Linked DNA regions of Solanum lycopersicum. The protein of the gene in region 1 interacts with the protein of each later gene in a pairwise test. Links are inferred from orthologs where the notes say so. Each region holds a gene or a part of one and is shown in the gene's direction. Other genes may lie near its edges.

What was found. The genes of interacting proteins can lie anywhere in the genome.
Region 2: the proteins of SCARECROW-LIKE protein 7 (region 1) and myb family transcription factor IPN2 interact in binary tests that used the Arabidopsis thaliana proteins (3 or more experiments, as listed by UniProt). The link is inferred for Solanum lycopersicum from reciprocal best matches to the Arabidopsis thaliana genes AT5G66770 and APL.

What each region holds. Positions count from the first base shown.
Region 1 is NC_090801.1:64,559,553-64,566,255, reverse strand, and holds SCARECROW-LIKE protein 7, read left to right. Parts: upstream 1-2,569; 5' UTR 2,570-2,876; coding exon 2,877-4,706; 3' UTR 4,707-4,863; downstream 4,864-6,703. UniProt on the Arabidopsis thaliana protein: Probable transcription factor involved in plant development.
Region 2 is NC_090811.1:7,166,774-7,173,393, forward strand, and holds myb family transcription factor IPN2, read left to right. Parts: upstream 1-2,502; 5' UTR 2,503-2,705; coding exon 2,706-2,874; intron 2,875-2,971; coding exon 2,972-3,048; intron 3,049-3,153; coding exon 3,154-3,220; intron 3,221-3,296; coding exon 3,297-3,363; intron 3,364-3,905; coding exon 3,906-3,948; intron 3,949-4,355; coding exon 4,356-4,779; intron 4,780-5,204; coding exon 5,205-5,434; 3' UTR 5,435-5,595; downstream 5,596-6,620. UniProt on the Arabidopsis thaliana protein: Transcription factor required for phloem identity. Has a dual role both in promoting phloem differentiation and in repressing xylem differentiation during vascular development. Regulates the expression of the transcription factor NAC045 (AC A4VCM0).

The sequences.
Region 1 (6,703 bases):
TCTTGATGAGTATGAGAAAGAGCCGGACATATGCATTGCATTTCTCACATAGGCAACAAATAAGAAGAAGCAAGGAAAGAAAAAAAAGAAGACACATAGAAGGCAAAATGGTTGGGACGGTAAAGTGCGTAAGGAATTTGTTTCAAGACACTTATTGATGTGTCAGACAAAACAAAACAATGTCAATGTAATAAAGTGGGTTCAACAAAGCTCCAATAAATACATAAAGAATGTATAAATTGTCAAGTGTTGTGGGATATGTTTAAAGAAGAAGAAAAGAGAACAATACCTCGAGTTACTTTTGATGAGCAGTAATTATTTTTTTTATTCGTGATTTCGTAATAAAAAGTTTGAGGTTGATTATTTAATCATCTTTTTGATTGTCATATTTTTATATTATTTAAGCATTCTCATCATAATATCATCTTGAATCGTATTATACAAATTTTGTGGTGATTTCAAAATACTTGATTTTTTTAAGCTCTTATTTTCTTAATACTTTATTAATCAGTAAAGATTAGATACTTCATGAGAATTGGTAAGACAAAGTCTTTCCTGTTTATGCTTATTCATACTGATATCTTTTTATTTTTATTAAAAAATAGCTATACATGAGTTTAGTTTCGATTATTGTTCTAGTAAAAATTTTAAAATAAATAAATATATATTATATGTTACTTGAGTTTAGTTTCGATTATAGTTCTTGTATCTTTTTAGGCGGTCCATCCCATAAGGCTAACGGGTTAACTATGTTGGATCTTCTTAGGAAATCAAGTCTATTGTAACGATTTAATGCCCTACGTGTCTTACTCTTAATTTTGATTATTTGACGGCTGGCATTTGGCCAGAAAATATATATTTTTCTTTAGATTTTGTGTTATATTATATTATTTTAATTGTATTTGAATCAGAATTTGAACATCAATATATAATTTATATTAGAAAAATAAATTTTGAAGCTTATAAAAATGAAATAAAGTTTTAAAATTTAAGTAATAATCAACATAAAATTAAGCGAGATGGAGAATAAAGTTAGCATGAGAGAATTTGACAAAATAATTTTGGTCCAGAGCTTTCAGAAATCAAAAGTCTCGAAAAAAGCCTTTTTAGCATAAAATGTCATACGTTGTGTGACATGTCGTGCTTGACATATTATTGTTGAGTGCGTATTACCATTTTTGTTTATTAAAAATATATTTTGTTAGTGAGCATGTTTGTACCATTTAAACACATACAAAACATGATTTTAAAGGAAGTTATTAGAGCTTGTAGATGCGAATTCTACCGAGTTTCTCTGTAGTATATCATTATTTTTTTGGCTTTTCATCTTTTTTTGTTGAATTTTGAGTTGTTATTCGTGACTTTGAGTAACTGGACTTTTTATCTAACATATTGATAGAATCACTATGTGTACTTTGGTTTCGTTCTTCTTCATTTAAGTTTGATAATTTCTGTTTGTTTGCAAATTGTTTGAGAATTTGTTGTCAGCAGTTCACACGTACCCTTTCAGTGTTGAGTTATTAATTTGGAGGATTTCTAATTTCTTGATTAGGGTCCATAAGACAACATCTTCAATTGCCAGTTAAGGCTCGAAATTATCATATGCTCGCTTATAAAAAAAATTTAATTATTATTTATTACGTATTTATTTTTATCGAATGAAATTTAAAAAAAAATTAATTAAACCCGCTTCTACCTATCATACTCGGCTTTGTCCTAAACGTATATGTAATTTTAAAAATTTACACATAACAACTACTCAAATAGTTTCATTTGTTCCCCACAAAAACAATTAGAAAAATTATTTATATTTTAAATTTTGTTCATAAAATATTAATTTTATGAACCATTCCACAATTTTATTTTATTTTTTGTTGTTTCTTTGATGAACAAATAAAGCAAGTTGTGATAAATTTGGGTATGCCGAGTTTCAAGTGTCCAATAAAACTGTGAAAGAATAATAATTTGAAAGAATAGCATCAGTTATCACTTAAAATACAACTTCTTTTATATATAAAAATAATACTCAATCAGTTCGTATTTAGTCGTACACTTTAGAAGTGATACTATTTAGTTGCTCATTTTAAAAGTGACACATATATTAAGGCACCAATTATTATCATAGATTTGTTATTATTTTATTCTTAACTTAAAAAATTATGACACATATATTAAGGCACTAATTATTATCATAAATTTGTTATTATTTTATTCTTAACTTAAAAAATTATGCAACTCTCGAAATATAATAAATATATTTTCTAATTTCCAAAAGCATGCATTACAATTTAGTAGTATGAAAAGTTTTCTAGAATTAAATAAAATCATATTAAGAAAAAATTATTATCCTTTCTTAATTTATTAAAATAGACAAGTAAATAAAAATAAATATAAAAAAAATATGAACAAATAAATAGGGACACATATAATATTATAAAGTAAAATAATTTACCTTTTATTGTTATCGTGGTGCGTAACCCAAAATTAATAAAAGCTTGATATCATATCATTGTTATTGTAATTTGCGATTCAAATTTAATGAAAGTTTTTGATATTATATACGAGCTGAATACTTAAATTAAAAATATAATACTCCAATTGAAAGAAATTATAGACATTTTTGACCTAGGGGAGATTCAAATTAAAATTAATATAGTGTGACAGATGGAGCCATTTCAAGCAAAACTTTGTCCTCCTTGTAAGGCTGAGCTTTTCTCAATTAAAGCTAAGCACTTCTAACCCCCTTTTCAACTCTCTCCCTCTTCTTGGGGCTACTCTGTTAGTCCACTCAAAACTTGCTCACCAATTTCTTCTTATAACTGTTGTTGTTGAGGTAATGTGTGAGTAGTGTAGCTTAGTAAGATTTGGTGTGGAGAATGGCCTATATGTGTACGGACAGTGGGAATCTAATGGCAATTGCTCAGCAAGTCATAAAGCAAAAGCAGCAGCAGGAGCAGCTCCAACAGCAAGAGCAACAGCAGCAGCAGCAACAACAATTCTTGGGTGTTAATCCTTTGTGTCTCAGCCCATGGACTTCCAATCACCAGACCTTAACTAATAGCCCCACTTTAGGATATGGACTTACCGGGTCGGGTTTTGCAGACCCATTTCAGGTCGCCGGAGGAACAGATAGCGCCGAGCCGGGATTTCAGTTCCCTAACTTGGAACATCATTCGACCGGGTTTAGGTTTGCTGATTTCGGCGGTGGACCGGGTGGTGAGTTTGACTCAGATGAGTGGATGGAGAGCTTGATAGGCGGCGGAGATTCTACCGGAAGCTCTAATCTTCAATCTGGTTGCGAAGCCTGGCAGACGAGTTCCGAATTCACTACCCTCTACGGAGATCCGTTCCCGAGTTGTCCGAATCGACTCAGTATCGGTTCTGCTCCTCCGCCTCCACCTTCTTCCGATCTCAATGGGGTCATTTTTTCGGAAACCCAGAAAAATCTAAGCCCACTACAACCACAGACATCTCCATGGGTCGCACCATCTTCATCTCCTCCTCCAATTGTTCAACCCGCGAGCAAAGAATCCAAGGTGGTATCAGTTGATGTGCAGCCATGTAGTTCCCCTGAAAGTTTTTCGTCAAAACCATTGTTGAAATCCTTGGTGGAATGTGCAAGACTCGCTGAATCAGAGCCTGAAAATGTAGTAAAATCATTGATTCGACTAAGGGAATCAGTTTCCCAACAAGGAGATCCAATGGAGCGAGTTGGGTTCTATTTCTTAGAAGCTCTTTACAATAGGCTTTCGTCGTGTCAAGCAGAGAGAACTCCGTCAATCTTTGGTACTGCGCCGGAGGAGCTCACTTTGTCATACAAAGCCTTTAATGATGCATGTCCCTACTCAAAGTTTGCTCACTTAACGGCTAATCAGGCGATTCTTGAAGCAACTGAAAAAGCAACGAGGATTCACATTGTAGATTTTGGAATTGTTCATGGTATCCAATGGGCAGCTTTTTTACAAGCTTTAGCAACTAGATCAGCTGGTAAACCAGTCAGTGTTAGAATCTCTGGCATTCCATCAGTGGTATTGGGTAACTCTCCGTCAGCTTCACTTTTAGCTACAGGGAATCGTCTTCGTGACTTCGCGAAGCTTCTGGATCTTAACTTCGAATTCGAACCAATATTGACTCCAGTTCAGGAACTTAACGGGTCTAGTTTTCGAGTTGATCCAGATGAAATCTTAGCTGTGAACTTCATGTTGCAGCTGTACAATTTACTGGACGAAACAAATGTTGGTGTAAAAACTGCACTGAGTTTAGCCAAATCATTGAATCCAAGCATTGTGACATTGGGTGAGTATGAGGTGAATTTGAATGATGTTGGATTCCTGCAGCGATTTAAGAACGCACTGAAATACTACTCAACTATTTTCGAGTCATTGGATCCGAGCTTGACCCGAGACTCCGCTGAGAGAGTACAAGTGGAAAGACTGATACTTGGCCGGAGAATTGCCGGAGCGGTGGGCCTAGACGATGGCGGAACCAGAAGAGAATGTATGGAAGATAAAGAACATTGGAAAGAATTAATGGAAGGGGCTGGTTTTAAACCAGTAACACTTAGCCATTATGCAATGAGTCAAGCAAAAATTCTTCTTTGGAACTATAATTATAGTTCATCATTTGGATTAATTGATTCTGCCCCTGGGTTTCTCTCCTTGGCTTGGAAAGATAATCCCCTTTTGACTGTTTCTTCATGGCACTAATTGTGTTCTACATCAGTTCTGTTAGGTACTTTCTTCTAAGTGCTTAAATTTAAATTTCATTGCTCTCTGTAGATTAAAAAGTTAGTATAGAAAGATGATATTTTTGAGCAAGTTTAACTTTGAATTTCAAGATTAAAGCCTTCTCTGTTTATATGAATAGTGTCTTCTCTCGGTTCTCATATTTAGTTTTCTAGGTTTGTGTCATTAGGAGGAGAAATCAACTGTAATTGTGCATAAATTTTGTGAATTATTGATGAATTATTGATAGCATGTTGTTGCTGCCTTAGTGAAAGCTTAATTGAGTAAACGATTCAATCATTATAAGAGGTTTTATTAGTCCAAAAGAAAGAAGGTCCTTTTCTCTCAGGTTCTGTAATGGAAGTTCCATTGACAAAGACTTTAAGCCAAAACCTGTGGACTTAGCTTAGCCTAGCTAGAGAAATAAAAACAGTTCTTTTTTTTCATGAGGAAATGGTGTTTTATTACTGACTTTTGCCATGTCCTTCATTCAGGAAGAGCCTTACACTCTAGTAAAGTCTATTCCTTTTTGGTAAGTTCTGTAGTAGAAATAATAGTACCAAACTTTGATTATATGGCAATGAATTAATGGGAGTCTCTTTCACTCTAAAATGAATTCAGAATAGTACCTTTCTTTCTTTCACTCACCTAATATCAGTTCCTGTCAGCAGTTGTTGATGATGAACAAGAGCCGTGCTCTTTTACAAAACTATAGAGGTGGTAGGGGGCCTAATTATTTGACTGAAACACTAAATTCATATACTGAAAAAAAATGTTATTTTGCTCTAATTTTTGGACCATCCGTAGTGCGCTTTGATCACTACTGCCTCTTTGAATTGCTGAGCAAGTCGTAGTACAAGTTGCATAATGGGCCATGAGTTTGTTACTAGTAGAAAAATGTGATACGCTAATGAAAGGCATATGTAGCTACTACAAAGAGTTATGGTCTAGTAGATTAATTAACTAATGAAATTGGAGAAAATGATTAAAATTTAGATTCAAATGCTAGCAAAAAGAAAAAAATATATACGGCGTTTCTTATCCATCCAAATTTTGATGGGACATAGTTTTTTTGATGTACTAATTATTGTTGGAGGTTGTACAACAAACTGCCTGTGTCACTAGATAATAGAGGTTAATATTTCAAAATTGCTTTTTAATGTATGATCAAGGAGGTACTACTACTTTCCTAGCGTGACTGATTAGTTTCATTTTTGAATTATTAGTAACCTTAAAAATGTACTTTACTTGTTTAATTGATCTTAAATACTCGCAGAATGAGTGAAATATGCCTCTAAATTTTCATCAAGTTAAAGTGTTTTCAACACTTCTCTGAGCTATTTATTACTCGAGAAGTCTGTCCACTATTGTTTGTTATTGTTTTATTTTTAGAATCAAACTTTAAAAACATTTGCTAACATTTTAAGATGTATTCATCATATTGATATACAAAAATTTGTAATTTATAGTGTTTTTCATATAGTTTTTAAATATTTAAATTTTTTTGTTTAAAATATTAAATAAATATAATCTAATTTAACTTTAAAAATTAGTTAACTTGACTTTTAAAAAATGTAACATCACAAATAAAAATGAACAAAAAAGTATTAAAATTTATGAATTTCATGCTCCGATAAAAGTTGAGATCATTTGATATGTCATATGATAGATCGAGGTTATTTAAATTTAATTGATCAAATAGAAATCATTTTTAAGATTATTAATACTAATGAAACTGAAAATTTACATATAGTTGTTTTTTGAATTATAAATTTTGTCTCAGAAAATAATCAAATTATCTTATTCGGCGTGCCAAACAAACTTTTTAAATGAAAAAACAATTGAGTTATTTAAAAAAGAAGTGAGCTGATGAGCAATCCAAGACTCATAATTGATAATATGACCCAGAGATAATTAACTAAGCATCATTAATTAATTGGATTAGATTATGGGAAACTCTGCAGTTTACTGTCCATAAG
Region 2 (6,620 bases), on another chromosome or scaffold:
TAATTCCCAAACGAGTATGGTATGGAGGCTTGAGTCCTCATGTGTGAACTTGACGGTAATTGTTAATGATATAGTATTTGTTGTTGCTACATGTTGAGTATCATAGTTGATTTTATGATATTACTTGGTATATATTGATTTCTATTTTGAGTTGGCCGATGATATCTACTCAGTACCCGTGTTTTGTACTGACCCCTACTTTTATGTTTTCTTCTTGTTTATTTGTGGAGTGCAGCAAACGTGCCATCGTCTTCAACTCAACAGTAATTCAAGTCAGTCTTACTACATCGGAAATTCAGGGTGAGCTAATGCTTCTAGCTTGGACTGGATCTTCTTCTTCAAGTCTTGATGCATTGAACTTCCGGCATGGACTAGCTTCTTATGTATTTTTAGCTTTTAGAATACTCTTAGTTTAGTCATTTGATCGTAGATGTTCTTGTGATGATGACTTCCAGATTTTGGGGAATAATAGATGTTGAATTTTAGAAGTTAATGAATTGGTCTTTATTTAATGAGTTTAAGTCTTCCGCATTACTTTCTGTTGATATTATATTGAAATGTTAAGGTTAGATTGGTTGGTTCGCTCACATAGGAGGGTAAGTGTGGGTGCCAGTCGCAACCCGGTTTGAGTCGTGACATAAAATCAAAATAATAAAATATTTAAAAAAGATAAAATAACGTCTTACCATTTTACCCAAATCCTCACTAAATTTTCTGGCCAATTTTTTCCCCCTATGAATTAATTTATATATTAATTTTCAATAGAAATGGCTGTCGAGAATATCTGATTTTTGTTTGATAAAGTTCTCTTCAATTTACAGACTAGCTTTCAATAATAATGGCTGTCGAGTGATAACACTAAACAAATCATATTTTCAACGGTTTTTTGGTCATAAAACTTTTGACCTTTGAAGTTGTCTAGATATTGGGCGGTTTCATTTGTAATTATAAATTAATTATTTCGTCGTTTTAATACATACAAATTCATTTTTTTAAAGTTTATTTTTTAAAAAAATCATTCATCTTTATTAATAATTAATTCTAAAATATTAATTTTACACTAATTTTATTCTAAATGAAACGATTTATGTATCCACATACATAAAAAAAAAACATATTTTACATATCAAATTATGCCACTATTTCCTCCGTCCACTTTTTTTATCATGTTATGTTTTTCAAAAGTCAATTTGATTGATTTTCAAAGTAAATTCGATTACATTAATTTGATTTTTTTAAAAAAAAATTCAAAAATTATATGTAAAACATCATAAATTGTAATTTTTTGCATATCAATATGATTAAAAAATACATCTTAAAATATTAATCAAATTCTAAAACTAGAAATCATGACAAATAAAGGTGGACCGAGGATATTATAATATGAATAAAAACAAAGTAAATATAACCAATTTCAACTCCCGATGTACCAGTGATTAACGAGGTAACATTCTGAATTAGTACTAACAATATGTTTAATTATAGCAATACAAATCCCTATAAATGCAAAGTTAGTTATGATTGTATGAGTATAATAATTTATACTACATCACGTTATTAGAATCCCTTTTCAATAAAAAAAATAAAATAAAAAGTAGGAATTCAATCCCAGGCCAGATGTTAATTAACTCCTATATTTATTTATTAATAATAAATTATATCACCTCACGTTATACGAGTCCCTCTTTAATTTTCTTTAATAAAGCAAAAAAAAAAAAAAATACACCGTAATTAACTATATACACATCCACATCTACACCAGTGGAACTTTAATTTTCTTTTGCCAAATTAAAGTAGAGCTGCATGTTAGTATTTTACAACCTTTTTTCCCTACCTACTTATAAATCTACTACCTCCTCCATTATTCCGGTTTATATGACTCATTTTCTTTTTAGTCAGTTTAAAAAAGAATAATATATTTCTATATTAAATATTTCATTCGTCTCAATTTATATGAGTTAATTTGTCTTGACATGAAATTTAAGAAAGAAAAAAGAACTTCTGAAACTTATGATCTAAAATAAGTTATAATACTTGTATGGTAGAAATTATTTCATAATGGTAAAATATATAAATTAAAGTTCTCACCCGGTGTTTGATAGTCATATCGCATCGGGAAGTCCCACATTAGTAAACACTCTTTAACAAAGACGACTTTATATTCAAGGGCCAAGGGGACTCAAGTGCGAGACTTCTTGATTAAGGATGAAGGAGTACTTATCACTCCACTACAATTCTTGTTGGAAATTGTTACTGACCAAAAAAATGTGTCATTATTTTTTGGATTAATTAAAAAAGAAAGTAAGTCGGGTCACAATTTAACTTTAAAATGCTCATTTTATCTTAATGAAATGATTTATTATCACACAAATATCTAACACTTATATCATCAGTTTCAAAAGTCTTATTTTTTTTAAACTTCATGTCAAATTAAACTAACTCATATAAAATGAAACGGTTGGATTAATATGTATAATACACATTTTACTCAACATAGACTTTATCTTTATTTAATTGAAGGGTTTGTCCACTTTATTTTTTTTTTCTTCTAAAAGGTGCATGTTCTCTTCTTCAAATTAAAACCAAACCTATTCTATTTGCATATCGCATTTGTTCTTGAATCTCTTTAGCATAGTATTCCATCAAGAAAGAAATAACATCAAAGAAATTTTTTTTAAAAAAAGAAAAAAAAGAAAAGAGAGAGAATGTTCCATGCCAAGAAACCTTCTACTATGAATTCTCATGATAGACCTATGTGTGTTCAAGGTGACTCTGGTCTCGTCCTTACCACTGATCCAAAACCTCGTCTTCGTTGGACAGTTGAGCTTCATGAACGCTTCGTTGATGCTGTTACTCAGTTAGGTGGACCTGATAGTACGTTTTCTATACCTAACCCTATATGTAAACTCATCATCAGAGGTTGATTCAGAATTTAAACTTATATGTTTTATTTTTATTTTTTGTTGTGTAGAGGCAACACCTAAAACTATTATGAGAGTTATGGGTGTTAAGGGTTTAACCCTTTACCATCTCAAGAGTCATCTTCAGGTTTAATTTTGATCTTCGCGATTAATTTTATTGAAGATCTACCTCTGAATGTTTTTAGCTTGATCATTTCATAACCTAATTGTTTTTTTTTGTTTTTATGAGTAGAAATTTAGACTGGGAAAACAACCACACAAAGAATTTAACGATCACTCAGTGAAGGATGGCGATAGAGGTATTATTGATTCGTGTTCTTAAATGAATTTTTTGTTTTGTATAAGTGTATATTAATATGTTTAATTAACTTGCAGCTACAAGTTTAGAACTACAAAGAAATTCAGCATCTTCATCTGGAATGATCGGACGTAATATGAATGAGTATGTTGTTATTTTTTTTCTTGTTAATTTCACTTTAAACTTTAGTATATAAATTAAATTTCATCTTGTTTATAGCTTCTTTTAGTTTGCTTTCACTTTAATAATTATTAGGAATTGTTTCTTTGAAGGGTGTTTACACTACTAGTCCCTTTCTTTTCTTTTCTTGTTTCAAATTCTTTTTCAAGTGTATGAGAGGGTGTGATGTGAATCAAACTTTAATATAAATTAAATCTTCTAGTATGAAAGGTAGAAATTTTAACAATATTGACATCTTCTTTTTATTTTATTCTTCTTCTAATAATTGCTTAATTCTATTAGATTGGGTGGTTTAATTAGTGGTGATGTGAAGAGTGTTTGTTTAACACATTTTAAAAGAAAAATTTATAGAAAATATATAGGTTAAAAATTATTTTAATGAAAATTTTGATTTTTTCGCTGAATTGTGTGACAATACAAGTTATTGTCATCAACACTCGTAAAGTAATTATATGGCATACATGAAATGGTGTAAGTATTAACTTTCACATATCTGATGGAATTAGGATGCAAATGGAGGTGCAAAGAAGGCTGCATGAACAATTGGAGGTAATTATATATTTCAATCTCTCTATTCTTCTTTTATTTTTCATCAAAGTGATATAATTTTCTAGTATTACCGAAACTAGATGCGGATCTTGAATTTTAAAGTTAATTAATAGGTTCAACCATTACTCTCTTCATCTTAATTTATGTAACATCGTTTGATTTTGACACTTTTTTTTTAAACGTTTGAAATTTATTGCCTAAAACAAACCTTGCATATTTTTATGACTTTAAATCATTCCATCAAAGATAAAAGAAGAATTTTAAAGTTCAATTATTCCTAAGTACGAAAAGGTGACATTCTTTTTGAAACAAACTAAAAAAGTAAAAAGTACCACATAAATTGAGACAGACAGAGTATAACATCATTATAACTTAGGAATTTAATTATGTGTTCATGCATGGTGTAGGTACAAAGACACCTTCAATTGAGGATTGAAGCACAAGGAAAATACATGCAAACCATATTAGAAAAAGCTTGTCAAACATTAGGTGGAGAAGAAAATATGTCATTACCAACAAGAACCTTTAAAGGTATTGGAAATCATCAAGGAGGATTAATACCAGACATTTCAGCTGCCTTTAAAGAATTTGGAACCCCTCCTCTAACTTTCTCATCATTCCAAGACTTGAACATATGTGGAGAACACATCGATCTTCATGCTCAGAGTAGCATGGGTGAACGATCCTCATCCTTCGATGGATTCATGAACTTGAGCAATACTTCAACCGATCATAACTTGTCTCTTGGAAAGAAAAGGGCTAGCCCTTACAATACTAGCAATGGAAAGAGTCCATTTATGTGGTCAGATGATTTTCGTCTACATGAGTTAGGTATGTATTGAAATTTAAGTTGTCAGAGAGAACATACTATATACATGATCATTTACTTATTGAAATTCTGTGATTATGAGATTTCAGTTGTTAGAGAGAACAATATATATATATATATATATATATGATCATTTACTTAGTGAAATTGAGTGATTATGATATTTCAGCTGTTGGAGAGAACATACTATATATGATTGATCATTTACTTATTGAAATTGAGCGATTATGAGATTTAAGCTGTTAGAGAGAACGTCCTATATATGATGATCATTTACTTGGTGACATTGTGTGATTATGAGATTTCAGCTGTTGGAGAGAACATACTATATATGATTGATCATTTACTTATTGAAATTGAGCGATTATGAGATTTAAGCTGTTAGAGAGAACAGACTATATATATGATGATCATTTTACTTATTTAGGTGGAGGTGGTTCGTGTTTAGGTTCTAATAATGAAGACGATCATCAAATTATTCAGATGGAGAGGAGTTGCAATCCTGAGATTGATTCGGTGTCTGATATGTACGAGTCTAAGCCATTACTACAAGATGACAAGAAGTTTGACACGAAACCAGAGAGGCCTTCCCCAAGAAGAGCTGCCCAGGTTTCGAGTTTGAGTGCTCAAGGTGGACGAAATTCTGTTTTCGGGTAAAAACTTAGACAATCTTTTACATTGGAACTTTTTTTTCTAATTTATCGAGTTTATAATATATTGTACGATAGTATTACTATTACTATTACTCTTATTATTATACTTAGGAGAAACAATAATTGTTGGTCACCATGCATATCAATGAATTCACTTTACTATAACGTATCACGTGACATGGGCATACCTTATTTTAATTACCTAATTATTACAATATTGAAGGGCACCATCATTTTTTAAAACAATCTACATATATATGTAATTTAATTTGTTGGATATCATATCATATATAGCGGGCACGTGTTGATCATTTCTCATTTTTGTATTTTTGCACATCTTATGTATACGGTTGATTCAAGATTTGAAATTACGAATATAATAGTGTAAATTTTGATATATATTGTTAATTTTATAAATAAATATACATGGATATATTTGTATGTTATCATTTTTATGATTTTTTTTTTAATCAGGTCTAAAAAGAATAATATTTTTTTATTTCGAATGAAATGATTTTTGGCCGTGAAAATATCTATTACTTATTTTAGACTATATGTATAAATCAAACTAAGTCATATAAAATAAAACGTAGAAAGTACTAAATGTTTAAAATTTGTACATCATTCAATAGTCCTTCAATCCTTTGTTTAATCTAAACATACCACTTTATGTTAGCCTAAGTTGTTTTTTATTTTCTCTTTAAACTTTTAAAAAGTTTAAGGTCCCAATAATGATTTTTTTGGTACCGCAAAATGATCATCATGAGATTAACCGTTTTATTGGGAACTTACATTTTAGGCTAATTATTCATGATTGTATAACCAAAAAAAAAAAAAGTAGAAAGAGGATGGTTTGATCTTTGGTTTATTTGCCAGTCAAAGAAAACCAAAGTAGAAAAAAAAAGTAAAGAAAATGATAGTAGTTGAGAATATATTCTTTATCTTTTATTTGAGCAAAAATAAAATAAAATAAATTAAAGATAGGGATATTTGGAAGCTTCTCTTTAGGAATGAGACAAAGAGACATAGAGCATCCAACTTTTTGTATTTTAGGATTCGATATTCCCAAGGCTAAGCGTGGCTCTCACAACTATAACAAGCTTTTTACTCATCCAAACGGAATTCTATGCATAATATGTACTTTATACCACTCCCACCTTTTTGTCATTTTATTTCCTCTCCCAAATAAT